Arabidopsis thaliana: one gene and its partners. The protein of the gene in region 1 binds, or shares a complex with, the protein of each later gene. Each region holds a gene or a part of one and is shown in the gene's direction. Other genes may lie near its edges.

The links.
Region 2: COP9 (region 1) and CSN5B share a complex: the UniProt entries of both Arabidopsis thaliana proteins name them as parts of the CSN complex.
Region 3: COP9 (region 1) and COP8 share a complex: the UniProt entries of both Arabidopsis thaliana proteins name them as parts of the CSN complex.

The regions. Positions count from the first base shown.
Region 1 is NC_003075.7:8,132,228-8,136,654, reverse strand, and holds COP9 (COP9 signalosome, subunit CSN8), read left to right. Parts: upstream 1-1,666; 5' UTR 1,667-1,787; coding exon 1,788-1,871; intron 1,872-1,979; coding exon 1,980-2,059; intron 2,060-2,433; coding exon 2,434-2,615; intron 2,616-3,123; coding exon 3,124-3,231; intron 3,232-3,466; coding exon 3,467-3,606; 3' UTR 3,607-3,775; downstream 3,776-4,427. Other genes in the region: AT4G14120 (uncharacterized protein), read right to left, coding at 1-30, 225-318, 408-656, 757-965, 1,104-1,470. UniProt on the Arabidopsis thaliana protein: Component of the COP9 signalosome complex (CSN), a complex involved in various cellular and developmental processes such as photomorphogenesis and auxin and jasmonate responses.
Region 2 is NC_003070.9:26,850,572-26,854,959, forward strand, and holds CSN5B (COP9-signalosome 5B), read left to right. Parts: upstream 1-1,834; 5' UTR 1,835-1,988; coding exon 1,989-2,378; intron 2,379-2,488; coding exon 2,489-2,770; intron 2,771-2,841; coding exon 2,842-2,989; intron 2,990-3,093; coding exon 3,094-3,179; intron 3,180-3,421; coding exon 3,422-3,499; intron 3,500-3,591; coding exon 3,592-3,684; 3' UTR 3,685-3,848; downstream 3,849-4,388. Other genes in the region: EBS1 (EMS-MUTAGENIZED BRI1 SUPPRESSOR 1), read left to right, coding at 1-24, 111-251, 331-374, 447-561, 738-890, 965-1,159; AT1G71235 (uncharacterized protein), read left to right, coding at 3,988-4,234. UniProt on the Arabidopsis thaliana protein: Probable protease subunit of the COP9 signalosome complex (CSN), a complex involved in various cellular and developmental processes such as photomorphogenesis and auxin and jasmonate responses.
Region 3 is NC_003076.8:17,236,613-17,242,637, reverse strand, and holds COP8 (Proteasome component (PCI) domain protein), read left to right. Parts: upstream 1-1,821; 5' UTR 1,822-1,988; coding exon 1,989-2,118; intron 2,119-2,256; coding exon 2,257-2,408; intron 2,409-2,678; coding exon 2,679-2,782; intron 2,783-2,870; coding exon 2,871-2,931; intron 2,932-3,388; coding exon 3,389-3,481; intron 3,482-3,569; coding exon 3,570-3,670; intron 3,671-3,911; coding exon 3,912-4,020; intron 4,021-4,105; coding exon 4,106-4,150; intron 4,151-4,373; coding exon 4,374-4,442; intron 4,443-4,539; coding exon 4,540-4,631; intron 4,632-4,705; coding exon 4,706-4,808; intron 4,809-4,931; coding exon 4,932-4,991; intron 4,992-5,093; coding exon 5,094-5,168; 3' UTR 5,169-5,485; downstream 5,486-6,025. Other genes in the region: AT5G42965 (Polynucleotidyl transferase, ribonuclease H-like superfamily protein), read right to left, coding at 5,513-5,902. UniProt on the Arabidopsis thaliana protein: Component of the COP9 signalosome complex (CSN), a complex involved in various cellular and developmental processes such as photomorphogenesis and auxin and jasmonate responses.

The DNA.
Region 1 (4,427 bases):
GAGGATCTGTATGCGTGGTTTCAGGAGTTCCTAGAAGAACAATGAAAGAAAAGAGACATCAATTTCTAAGGCTACCAATTCTGACTTTATAATTTCAATACAAGCTAATATCATGCATTTATACTATCTTACAATTTACCAAGCCACAGAAGACAGTATTATTATCTGACTAGTACTGACATTGAATTATACCGTGTGCTAAACATGAATATAAAGAGACTAACCATGATTATCCTCTGAGTTCTCTTTGAGATATGAAAGCATTCTTCTGTAATTTACAGAACCTGGCACTTTAAATAGCTTGCGCCGGCAGCACAGCTGTTTCATGTCACAACAGGGAAAATGTCAAAAACAGATTCTTAAATAAGGAACAAGACTGCAGCTTCTTAAAAAAAAACAGATCATACAGAAATTTTGTTGCCACTGGATGAAGTCATCTTCTTGAAAGGGCTATTGTTTCCATGAGCTTTAACAAAGCTATTGGCAGATACGGTTTCAGGAAGTCGGTAATTTGCTGCCATCAATTCACCTCTTTCATCCTTAGGATCTTTTGCATCACCATCTCGGGTAACATCTGCAGCTTCCATCAAGTAAGGAAGCATTCTTCTATAGCTCACAGAGCCAGGGTTCTTGAAAATCTTTTCCGGATGACGAATCTGTATACATATCACAAGAAGAAAATTAAGCAACCAACGAAAAGCCAATATTGTAGTTTAAACGCATCATTTGCTATAAAACCATGAGTAAAAAACATACCACTTTGCTGCCGAGATTGGTACCAACTTTCTTCCCAGAGACCTCACTGATCTCTTGATTGATAGAACCTGCTTCATTTTTCACCAAAGAAAGCTCACCGGTGAACATTCCTAAATCCGGTGGCGTCGTTTGTGAGCATTCCACTACTTCTAAATCACCTCCAGTAGCCACTAATCCATCAACAAGATATTTGCTTCCTTCTCTCATAACTGTTTTCACCATTGTGTAATCATTATAGTTTCTAAACAGATATTGAAATTTCCTAATTCCACCTTCATTATATCAACATTCTCCTAAATTTTCTTAGAAAAACTTGTACAAGAAAAAGACCTTAAAATAAGAATTACCATTAGAATTCGGAGTATCGCAAGGAGATTCCACATTTAGCTCCTTGGTTAGATTTCCCCCTTTCACATGAAAGTCCCAATCACTAGAGATGGAACTAGGAGAGAATACGCGTCTGAGACACAGATTCTTCACGGTGACACGAGAACAAGTTCGGGGCATTTGAGTAACAATTTTCCCTTTGATCGGTGACGCATGATGGTGACGAAGATCCGTGACAATGTGAGACAATGGGGATGCAAATCGAACGGAGGAACGATTGCTCTGAGTTCGTAATTTGCTTGCCATAAGGTTCTGAGAGGTAGTATAACGAACTGAAGAAGACGAAAATCGCATCTTCTTCCTCAATATAGGATCTGATTCGGCCATGGTAGAACTCGCGCCAAGAGAGAGCTACAGAGAGAGAGAGAGAGTGTGTGTGAGAGTGAGAGAGACTGTTTGTTATTTTGGCGGGAACAGACCGGGTGGCTTTATGATGTTTGGCGGGAAACTAAGGCTTAGTGGGCTTGGCCCATTTATCCTCTTGTGTTTGGTCAATTTTTTGGTCGGTTTAAGTAAACCGTATTGAAAAGATTATTAAAACCTGTAAATCTCACAGAATTTATTTTTCTTTTCCCTGGAGTGGTTTTGGGAGTAGAATTGTCATCTTCGCAAAAGCTTCGAGAGTAGTGCAATCGAAACAAGTCATGGATCTTTCGCCTGTTAAGGAAGCTTTGGCCGCCAAATCCTTTGACAAAATCGCCGATATCTGCGATACTCTCATGCTTCAGGTTCGTAATTTCTCTCGCTGTCGTTGTTTCTGATGTTCATTAGGGTTTTGTGAAGTGGATTTTGTGGTGTTAATCGTTCGATTTATCGCTTCTTAATTTTTTTTATAGGTTGCTTCCGAAGGAATTGAATATCATGATGATTGGCCTTACGCAATCCATCTTCTGGGTTACTTTTACGTTGACGATTGGTGAGTTTATTTTCTTCTTTGATGTATTTGTTTGCGTTGTGAACCTAAAGTTAGTTCCTTTATGAAATTAGAGATTGTTTCGTTGAACTCTTGTGAATTTTAGCGCGTCAAAGTTGTTCTTACTACTTCGATTGCTAGGTCCTAGGTTGAATCTAAGGTCTAAAGTCTGCTTTTTACATTACCTTGTTTCTATCCAGTGATTTGAAAAATTAAAACTTGACACAAGTTAGTAGTTGTTGAGACCCATTTAACATTTTTTTCCTTTGTGTATTGATAGTGAGTGTAGTATGTTGAAACTATTGAGTTATGGTTGTGCCTTCTTGACTATGGATTTGGTTTTGATGTTTTGCTGTGCTTGTTTGGAAATACTGCAGTGATAGCGCACGTTTCCTCTGGAAAAGGATACCTACAGCTATCAAGGAGAGGAAGCCTGAAGTTGTTGCAGCTTGGGGGATTGGTCAGAAGCTGTGGACACACGACTATGCAGGTGTATATGAAGCTATTCGGGGTTATGATTGGAGTCAAGAAGCTAAAGATATGGTTGCTGCCTTCTCAGGTAAATTTTTTCTCTGTTTATGACTTCTTAGCTAGTATGAATTGGTTTCTTGAACTAAGCTTGTTGATTGCTTATGTAGTTGTGTACTTTTATTACTTCATATCCCTCTTTAGGTTTTGAGCTTTGATATACATATTGAGATCGAATAGTTGTTTTATTGTTTTAACTTGTGAGGCCTAGTTTAGGATTTCTGTTATGCACAGAACCACCTTTCATCTTATCATTGAACTATTGGAACTCGAATTTGAATCAAATTTCATCAATGTATGTGCCTTATCACTTCTTCATTAGAAAGTAGTTGCTTCTGTGGTCTAACTGAGAGAGAGGTAGGTAGACTCACACAGGAGGAACGAGTAAGCAGTTGACAGACTTTTCCAACCAAATGTCTAAACGTTGATCTGAATTTTGTGAAGTTGTACCTTTTTCCACATCAATTGTTCAACACCTGACCTTTATGGGTCACTTTCCATCAGATTCTAATTCTATTTCTGAATTGGTTTTGTTGTAGATCTTTACACAAAAAGGATGTTTCAGCTTTTGTTGTCTGCCTACTCCACAATTACCATCCATGATTTAGCTCTTTTCCTAGGGATGACGGAGGATGATGCCACAACTTGTAAGCTTCTTTCTGCAATTTCCTTTGCTTACAAAAGATTAAGTACCTCATTTCACATTTCTATTGAATTCTACTGAATTGATTCTTATATTGATACTTTTGAAAAATGTCGAAGAGTTTGTGGCAATGTCTTAGCTTAGTGTTATTGTAGGCATGAATCTTATGACAACCATATATGTTACGGAATCAGAATTAACAGTATAATTGTTTTCTTTATTGCTGGATATATACACAGATGTTGTAGAGAATGGATGGACAGTGGATGCAGCTTCTCAAATGGCGAGTGTGAAGAAACAAGCTGTTAAAAGAGAGCAAAAGGTGGATTCATCGAAGCTACAACGCTTGACGGAGTATGTGTTCCACCTTGAACATTAAAACTAAGTGCCGATCTCCTATTAAGATAGTGAAATTCTAAGAACAGAATTCGTTTTTGAGAGATTTCACAATGACTGATTCTAAGTTGCAACATATCTTGACTCTTTGAGTATATGATGAATAACTCCTACCAATTTTACTCTTATAAGATCAGTTTACACCAACAGGCGAACTAAAACAAACATTTAAAAGATCAGTTTACACAAAAGACGAACTGAAACAAACAAAAGATGAAGTCAATATTATGAGCCAAAAAGGACACAGCCTAAATAACACACGTTTTCAGAACAAAATTAGGCAGAAACAAGAGAAGATCATTTTAGCGACTATAACAAGCTAGCCAATCTCTGAGATAAAAGATGATAATCTTCAAACCGGAGAGGTACTCTAGAAGAATAGGAGCCATTTGTCGATCTAGTAGATGACAAGCTGGGGTTATCAGAGATTAATAATTCTTAATTTATTATTAAATTATCGATAAATGAACAATTTTAAATTTATTGAGAGATTTTACTATTCTTTTATAATTTTTAAAACTGGTTTATGTGAAAAGCAGTTTTTGTAGTTATAATCAACATCCTTTTAAAAATAATGAAAAATATAAAAAGTAAATAATTATTAAGTCTAGAAAACAAAAAGAAAAAAAAATTGATACTGTAGAAATATTAGAAATAAACTCTTCAAAAGATTAATACAAATTTTAAAAAACAAATATTAGTAGGAGTAATAGTTAGAAATACTCAAATGTAAACATAAATTTGTATTAATCTTTTATGTTTACGATAGGTTTTGGTGAATCGATAATTTGTTCATATTCCCTA
Region 2 (4,388 bases), on another chromosome or scaffold:
ATATTTCCTCTCTCATTGGAAAAGGTACAGATGATCATATTTTCATTTCTTTCTTGCGATTTTGATGCTTGGAAGATGTCACTATAAGGTATTCGACATGTGTTCTGTAGGTTATATTTGTCGACGCAGATCAAATTATAAGGACAGACATGGGAGAACTGTATGATATGGATATTAAAGGAAGACCTCTCGCGTATACTCCTTTTTGTGACAACAACAGGGAAATGGATGGCTATAAATTTTGGAAACAGGTAAACATTAATCTTTTTGTTTTGCTTGTAGAGGTAGTTTTGGTTTCCATACTCTTACATTCTCAATTGCTTTGAACAGGGTTTCTGGAAAGAACATTTACGTGGTAGGCCATACCATATCAGGTAAAAAAACCTACTTGAACCTCAGTAAGTTGTTGCTTTTCCCATTCTTAATGTGCCTTGTTCTATCTGTAGTGCTCTATACGTTGTTGACTTGGTTAAGTTCCGAGAGACAGCGGCAGGAGATAATCTAAGAGTATTCTATGAGACGCTTAGCAAGGATCCAAACAGTTTGTCCAACCTAGATCAGGCAAGTTGTATAATATGGTTCTCTATACTTAGGGCTGTAACCTTTCTTTGGTGGTCACACTATCGTTTTACTTTATTTGAAAGGCTTTTGCATTTGACTCTTACCATACACCATGCTCTGAATCTTTAGAGTTCCAGGTTCAAACATATTGATGGCATGTCATTATTTTGTTTCAGGATCTTCCTAATTATGCTCAGCATACTGTTCCTATATTTTCACTTCCCCAAGAGTGGTTGTGGTGTGAATCCTGGTGTGGAAACGCCACAAAAGCCAAGGCCAGAACAATCGATCTTTGCAATAATCCCATGACAAAGGAACCAAAGCTTCAGGTAAAATGATGGCTTTCCTCATATCTACAACACTCACAAAGCGTTGTTTGTTATAATGCGGTGTTCTTCTGCAGGGTGCCCGAAGAATCGTAACCGAATGGCCCGATCTTGATCTCGAAGCACGAAAATTCACAGCAAAAATCTTGGGTGAAGATGTGGAACTCAACGAGCCAGTAGCTGCTCCTGCTACAGACAAGCCTAATCCTCTTCCATCAAATGACATCTCTGAAGATACAGAACAAGACTTGGAATCTAAAGCAGAACTGTAAATTCAATGCTCCTGAAGTTTCAAAAGAGGAGAAGATAAATTAGACAATCATGGCTATTTTGCATTTGCTAGATAAGGTTTCTAGTTTTGTAGCTACAGTTTCTTAGACATCTCTCACATAAATTAGACAGAAGATAAAGTCAACAGATTGCAGGAGAATAAGAATATCAGTATAATATGATTTTGAATCAATTACAAACATAGTCACTCATAACGTATTTGTAAACTCGTCCGTCCAAAATCTCAAATCAAACCAAACCGACAAACCAGTAAAAAAACCGAACCGGAAAACTGACGTGTCAGTGTCTGTATAAAAAGCAATACGTGTTCTTTTAGCAAAGGGTCTGACACTCTGATAGAAAAGCTGAAGTAATTCAATAAATTATTTTAGAAGAGGGAAGAAATCTACGGTTTTACAAGGGGACGTTATTTATTAATGGATTTTAATAGAAAGAAATCCAACACTAATACACTGTTATTTAATTAATGATTTTAAATTCAATTTTAAAATTTAGTGTTATTGGAGTTTATATCTTTGTAAATCATGTTTAATAGATTTTAAAATTTTGTGTTATTCAATTAAAAGATTTTAATACCGTCAAAAAAAAAAAAAAAAAAACAAACTAAAAGGATTTTAAATTTTATTTCTAAATTAGAGAAGAATCCAGAGGAATTAATTTTCACCACTTTTCTCTTCTTATATATAAGTCAATCCCCGAAGTAACATTTTTGACACAGTTTTCAATTCTTCAGCAGACAGATCGATCACACTCCATCGATTCCGTATGAAACCCTAGATTTCTGCAACTGAATTCCTAATTCGAAAAAGAATGGAGGGTTCGTCGTCGACGATAGCAAGGAAGACATGGGAACTAGAGAACAGCATTCTAACAGTAGACTCACCTGATTCAACCTCCGACAACATCTTCTACTACGACGATACTTCACAGACTAGGTTCCAGCAAGAGAAACCGTGGGAGAATGATCCTCACTACTTTAAACGAGTCAAGATCTCAGCGCTCGCTCTTCTTAAGATGGTGGTTCACGCTCGCTCTGGTGGTACAATTGAAATAATGGGTCTTATGCAAGGTAAGACCGATGGTGATACTATCATTGTTATGGATGCTTTTGCTTTACCAGTGGAAGGTACTGAGACAAGGGTTAATGCTCAGGATGATGCTTATGAGTACATGGTTGAGTATTCACAGACCAACAAGCTCGTAAGTGAGATTCAAGAAACTTCAAAGTTTTGATTTTTTTCTTTAGAAAGTTTGTATATAAGTCAGAACAGTTTGATTGATTATGGTTATAATAACTTGACCTTTATAAGGCGGGGCGGCTGGAGAATGTTGTTGGATGGTATCACTCTCACCCTGGATATGGATGCTGGCTCTCCGGTATTGATGTTTCTACGCAGAGGCTTAACCAACAGCATCAGGAGCCATTTTTAGCTGTTGTTATTGATCCCACAAGGACTGTTTCAGCTGGTAAGGTTGAGATTGGTGCTTTCAGAACATACTCTAAAGGATATAAGCCTCCAGATGAACCTGTTTCTGAGTATCAAACTATTCCTTTAAATAAGATTGAGGACTTTGGTGTTCACTGCAAACAGGTACATTTTCTTGATTTTTCTCGGTGCAAGGTCCCAACATGATTCTTATGTTTGGCTTTTGGTTTTGGCAGTACTATTCATTAGATGTCACTTATTTCAAGTCATCTCTTGATTCTCACCTTCTGGATCTACTATGGAACAAGTACTGGGTGAACACTCTTTCTTCTTCTCCACTGCTGGGTAATGGAGACTATGTTGCTGGACAAATATCAGACTTAGGTAAACTCTTGGATATGGCCTAAATCATTCACTCTTACTTTTTTTTCTCAAGTCACAGTCAAGTAATGTGTTATATAATCGTTTTCGTAATTTTACCAATGAAGCTGAGAAGCTTGAGCAAGCCGAGAGTCATCTGGTTCAGTCTCGCTTTGGAGGAGTTGTGCCATCATCCCTTCATAAGAAAAAAGAGGTATGTCCTAGTGGTTCATCAAATTTTAATTGCGATTACGGTGGCTAGTTAAGTGCCTCTGTAAACATCTAGCTACTAAGAGGATATATCTTCAAATGTTTTGGTTATTGGGACCTGGAGGTGTTCTGTTTAGTTGAAATGAAAGTGTTGTTGAAGGTTGTACAGATATATAACTTTCGAGAATGTTAATGGGTGTTGCTTGTTAAAGATCTCATTTGACGTGTGTTCTAAATCACTTTCAGGATGAGTCTCAACTAACTAAGATAACTCGGGATAGCGCAAAGATAACTGTGGAACAGGTCCATGGACTAATGTCGCAGGTGAGTAATAATATTGAAACGAAATGGTGACATATCTCCCTTAAGGTTCGTGTATTTCACAGACTCAAAATCCATCATTGTTGTACTTGTAGGTCATAAAAGATGAATTATTCAACTCAATGCGTCAGTCCAACAACAAATCTCCCACTGACTCGTCGGATCCAGACCCTATGATTACATATTGAAGTTGCTCTTCTTTTGGTTTCTAGTTTTGGATTGACCCATCATTTGTTGTCCTTTCATTTATTTTCTGTTGTGTAAAGAATTATAATGCTAATGAGAATAATACAGAAGAAGATTTTGGTTAAAGAAATGTTTTTAAGCCCATTCGATTCGTCGGGGTTAAAGGAATAATCTTAAGCCCTTAAACAAAAATTGTATTTATGGAAATCAGAAACCTAGTGATCTTTTCCAACTCTATCCCCTCTCTCTTTCCTTCTCTGCACTCACGTTGTCCGTGAATAGGTGGTACTAAAACATGGCTAACAATGGCAATCATCTTTCTCTGTCTTTGTTTGTTGATGAAAAGTGTTCCTTATGGGACTGTCGACGACGACGCCCACAAGGAGCTATGTACTGCCAACCTGACCATCTTCAACAAGCTTATCAAGAACGCACTTCACACAACATGGCAAACTTATACACTTGAAGACGTAGTATTGCGGAGAATCTTAGAAAGCCTTAGTTATCCGGAGCTTCGTGGAAGTCCGGGGATACCAAACCTTCAAGAAAACAGTCAGTTATTGTCTATAGCTCCGCACGGATATGTTTCCTACAAATTTGACATGTAGCGAGAAACATAGCATATGGCTGTTTCTCGCGCTGTTCGTGCCCGACCAAGGGGTTTGGAAACTGGTTAAAGAACGGCATCGAAGGAACTATGTACGTG
Region 3 (6,025 bases), on another chromosome or scaffold:
GGAATAATAATAATAATTAATAAAACATGTTGTCAAATAGGAAAAGAATTAATACTCAAATTAAAAAAATGGACCAAACCACGCGGAGGAATTCGATGCCGGATTTGTTGATCTAACGGTTGAGATTGAAGAATTGCAAATCGGATTCAGCTTCTGAGGACGCGTGTAATTTATGCTCATTGAAAATAGAAGAAATTGATATATTTAGTCAAAAAGGTTATGAGATTTGAGTATTTCTTTTTATTTTTTATTTTTTTTTTGTTGGTCACATTGAATATTATTGCCTTTGGTAGTTCAGTCCTATATTTTATTTGAGAAACAAAATCAGAAAAGAATCTATAATTTGAAGCAACTTTCATATTGTAATTTGGTATTCCTATATTTTATTTGAGAAACAATATCAGAAAAGATCAAAAGAATCTATAATTTGTAGCAACTTTAAATATTGTAATAGGAAATCTTTTAAAATTTATCAATATGAAATTTGTTAATTTATAATAGGTCTTGAGATTTGATCATGTGACTTCTAAACACAAGTTATTGGGCTTTTGTTTAAGTAAAGCCCATGTGTCAAAGAAATGGATTGTTTTCCTAGTTAGTGAAATAATCTTATACACACAATTTAAAAACAATAGAGAAAATTAATGTTGAAATGAGCAGATTAATGTGGGGTTGTACATATCAAGGTGGAACTATCACAAGGAAGAACAAAGAGATATCTTGAGGTAACTACCCAAAGAAAGAGCAATGAAACCCTACCATGACAATTTGTCCAGACTATAACGAGTTAAATCATTATCATGAATTCCATACCATGGCAATTTGTTTTCTTTCAATGGGATGTCTACCATTCCAAAAAAGTTTTGCCATCAACAACCGCATCTGTTCTTTTGAGTAAATGTAATTTTGGTAAACTATGTAGTCTATAATCATTAGTTACAATATGGATCTGTAAAGTTGATTCAAAAACAATTGTGATGTTCTCGAACGGGATCACCATAAACTTCATCAAAAAAAATCCTTTAAGCGAGAGAAACTCGTGATTTTTCGAGACAACGATTGTGTCTATGAGTCTATCGTCCAACCTCATCCAATACCAATATGTTCAGTTATATCTAAGTTGTAAAGCACATAAAATCGATTTGTCAGTCAGCTCACATGTTTAAACCAAAGTCGTATTCCAATGCGAGACTTGGTTTCCTAGTCTGAGATAGGTAAATTTCTTTATATACTACCCTCTATGTAACGAGAGAGTGGTTCTTTTTTCACTTTTAATTCATGAGAGCACTTTCAAAACATTTTGCATGTCATTGCTCTCAAGATTTGGGCTCACAACTTTTCCGATGACTTCTCGGTCATATCTTGACCATTCGATCAATTTTTCGATTGCTTCTAGTCGATTCTTTCTCAACAAATAATTATTTACGTTTCCATCTTAAATTGCTCCCTAAGCTCTAAAACACATAACATATCATCTTTTTCCGATCTGGTATCATAATATTAAACGTGGTATTGTCATCATAAAATACCTCATCATCGTGTTTTCCAAATCACGACGTGTTTTTTTATTTGTGTAAAAGATTTACTGTAGTAATTTAGGCTCACATATAAAAATATTTCTAAACAATATATTATTTGTTGATTTTTTTTTTTAATCTACAATCAATTTGGTAAACTTACCATCACAAATTAATTATAAAATTTATGAACTAACAAAAAAAAATATAGTATTTATGCTTAATATATATATATATATATTTTAATTTATTTTGGGTACTAATCTCATATGAGTTGTGACCATATTAAGTAAATTTTGTAAAGCGCCTCTCCGATCACCGGCACAGAATCTAGTCCCCGTTTATTTTTTTAATATAAAAAGAGAGCAAACTCCAAAAAAAAAAAAAAAAAAAGCGAGAGAGAAATCAAAACCTTGTAAGGTTTCTTAGGGTTTCAATCGAAGCGGGAGAGAAAATCTCAGAAGAGAAGCCATGGATGAAGCTTTGACGAACGCTTCTGCAATCGGTGACCAACGCCAGAAAATCGAACAGTACAAACTCATCCTCTCCTCTGTTCTCTCTTCCAACGATCTTCTCCAAGCTCAGAGATTCATCGATCACAGTAATTTCGCATCTCCCTTCTTTCTCATGGTTTCAACTTCATAAGAGATTCGACAACTGCTTTTTGTTCTTATGGAATTCGGTTTATATCAGAATTTCTGGTTTGATTTTGATTTTTGCTTCCTCACAATTTTTCCAGTTCTTTCCGATGATGTCCCGTTGGTGGTTTCGAGGCAGCTTTTGCAGTCTTTCGCACAAGAGCTTGGGAGATTAGAACCGGAGACGCAGAAGGAGATTGCTCAATTTACTCTTACCCAGATTCAGCCTAGAGTTGTTTCCTTTGAGGAACAGGTTTGTTTTCTCTTCGTGATACCTTACTGTTTAGCAGCAATCGTGTACTTTTTAAACCCTAATTAGTTTACCTACTTAACATAAGTTGAGAGGTATGTAGAGTCGCTTTGCTATTGTACCGCTTTGGTATGTGAAATCTACACTGAAAGCTAATTTGAGATATTTGTTTACTAAGGATGCTGTATTTTGGGATAACTGAGACAATGTACGTTGTGTTGTTTTTCAATCTCTTTATTCTAAGAGATGAAACTGTTTGTGGTGTATTTGCAGGCACTTGTTATCAGAGAAAAACTTGCGGGTTTGTATGAATCAGAGCAGGAATGGTCAAAAGCAGCACAGATGTTGAGTGGAATTGATCTGGATTCTGGAATGAGGTGTGTGGCATTGAGCAGAATTTTGTTTTAGTTTCCTCTCTATGTTCTTTTGTGTTGCTTATTTTGGATTTGCGGAATTCTTTATTAGGGCCGTTGACGACAACTTCAAGCTTTCAAAGTGTATCCAAATTGCTCGTTTGTATCTCGAGGTTTGTCTTTCCCTTTCATGTACATATGCACAATAGATTCTGTGTCCTTTTCATTAATTTTTAAGCATGTAAATCGGTTATCTCTGTTTATGAGATGAATTTACGCATCGCAGTAATGATTTATAGCTAGTTTGTCTTGTTTCCTTCTGTGGGTGCGTGTCAATCAGTTACAGAAGTTAGATCTTAAAAGCACAAAAGAAACCCGTTGTTGAATGTTGATTCAATCTTCAAATATTTGGACATTTTTCTAGAGAGATTTTATTTAAAGTTAAGTCTCTTGACCAAATCTAAGTGTCATGAAATTAGGAATATCGACTGTTAAGAGCATTATTCTGCTTCACTACATCACTTTTTTATTTATTGCTTGTGAGAGTAAATTGAGGCTAGCAGAGTTGTATAAATACATTTAGTTAAATTTTTATTGTTCTCTAATACTTTTGTGTTTTGAAATTTTCAGGATGATGATGCTGTAAATGCAGAGGCTTTTATAAATAAAGCTTCTTTCTTAGTGAGCAATAGTCAGAATGAAGTTTTGAATTTGCAGTACAAGGTTGGACCACCTTAAAGTAAACTAAGAATTTATGTGCTGGGTGATTAAGGAGCATTCGTTTTCAAGTTTTAATATATTTCTGTTTCAGGTCTGCTATGCTAGAATTTTGGACATGAAAAGAAAGTTTTTAGAGGCTGCACTTCGGTATTACGGCATATCTCAGATTGAGCAACGCCAAATAGGGGATGAGTAAGTGAACTGACTTATCTTTCTGCTACATCTTTTCTTCAAATTCTCCTCTGTTGGTTTCTTGTTCGGATGGAATAATGATTAATTAATCTTCTATCCATCTTTGGAGACTCTGTATTTAAAGCTAGTTTCCTACTTTTCCCCTCTCTGTGATTGAATAGTGTTCCTCTTTTCTCTCTCCAATACCTTTGTGATATCTCATATTCTGAAACGGTTATAATGTGTTTTCTAATCTTTTCAGAGAGATTGATGAGAATGCTTTAGAGCAGGCCCTATCAGCTGCTGTCACATGTACCATATTAGCTGGAGCTGGTCCTCAGCGTTCTCGTGTTCTTGCAACTTTATACAAAGTAATTCCCTTTTGGATTACAAATAGAATACTTTCCTGCTTGCTTATTTATTGTTTTTTATTTCTCAATATCTTTCTATTAACAGGATGAGCGTTGCTCCAAGCTGAAGATTTATCCTATCCTGCAGAAGGTTCTATCTCTTATTACCTACAACTGTTTCCTCTAGTAGACAAACATACATTTTCATGCTATTGGACATATAGTATTGTTTGAACTCACATATTACTCTTGTTTAAGCCGGCATGATGTTTATTAGATTTGATTCATTATCAAATCAAACAAGTTCACCATAGCTTATAGAGGCTTGGTTAGAAATGCATGGTAACTTTTTGTTTTTTAATGCAACTTTATAGGTGTATCTGGAAAGGATTTTAAGGAGACCAGAGATTGATGCCTTTTCAGAAGAACTAAGGCCACATCAGGTATGGACTGTGAATTAAGATTTAGATGTAGTTTTTGGATAACATCTGAGTTGGTAAGTAGGTTCATAACAAGTTATTACACTGTTGATTTCAACAGAAAGCATCTTTGCCTGACAAATCCACTGTTCTTGACCGTGCTATGATTGAGCATAACCTTCTTAGTGCAAGCAAACTCTACACAAACATAAGGTATGAGATGTCGAATTAGTATCTTCTTTGTGTGTCTAGACTTGTTTGATTTTCTCAACTATTTTATATCCTAGGTTTGATGAATTGGGAACTCTGTTGGCGATTGATCCAAGAAAAGCGGAGAAGATAGCAGCTAATATGATTGGGCAAGACCGAATGAGGGGTTCCATAGATCAGGTAAGCAATAAAAAATACTTTGTTGGTTGAGCTATGTAAGAGCCCTGAAGAGAATTCTCGTTAGTGTTGATTTTCTAGAAGGAGGTTCCTAGACGTGTTTTAATATTTTATGTTACTGTTCAGGAGGAGGCTGTGATTCATTTTGAGGATGACGTGGAGGAACTACAACAATGGGATCAACAGGTTTTCTATCTCTCCCTCCCACTCTTTGTCTCTTTAGAGCAACTATATATGATTGTTTGTTTTATTGGCGTGGAATATGACTGAAAAGTGGAATCTGTGCAGATATCGGGATTATGCCAAGCTCTCAATGACATTCTGGATGGGATGGCCAAGAAAGGCATGTCTGTTCCTGTCTGATTGACTCCCAAGCCGTGAGATCGCCTCATGATGATTAATTTGTATTAGCCGAGCAACGGATCGAGTCTCATGCCAAAGTTTTTGCCAAATTGCTGTGTTTTGGGGACAGTCATTTTCACCTTATTTACTTTCTTGCAAATTCATGTCTATGTCTTTAGGTTAATTGATTCAGAGAGGAAAAGATTAGGCATTGAATGAGGATTTTTAAGAAAGTTGAAAAGAGGTTCAGGGTACATTTTTACCTCAGAACAAATTATTTTATGCATAGATGAACCTTTCTTGTGCAAGAGAATGATGAAACTAGTAGTTTTTTTTTTTTTTTTGGCTCAACAACAACTTCTCATTTACCAAACGGTGATTACACAGAGTCTGAATACACACAATCTTTTATCCAAGCCGGCACCTTTAGAATACATTTTAGGATCATAATTCAATAAAGAAAGAGATTCCCTAGCAATTCTATCTGCCACACTGTTTCCTTCACGCTTTATATGCATCACCTTCACCTCCTCAAATTGTTGGAATATATGTCTAATGTCCTGAATTCTTGGGGCCAAATTTGGATAATCAGTATCATCCCCTAACAGAGACACTAGATGTTGGGAATCTGATTCAAAGATGACTTTCTTATAGTTAAATCTTGACATTGAAAGAGCTGCCCATCTCATAGCTTCAAGTTCCACTTCCAACACTGTCTGAACTCTCGGGATTGCACGAAGTCCCAGCCACAACATTTTCCCCTCATGATTTCTCAGATGAAACTAGTAGTTACATATAACATTTTCCCATTCGTTGTTTAATTTTTATTCTTGAACGATCAAAACTTATGCGAATTTAAGAAATGATCAATGATAACA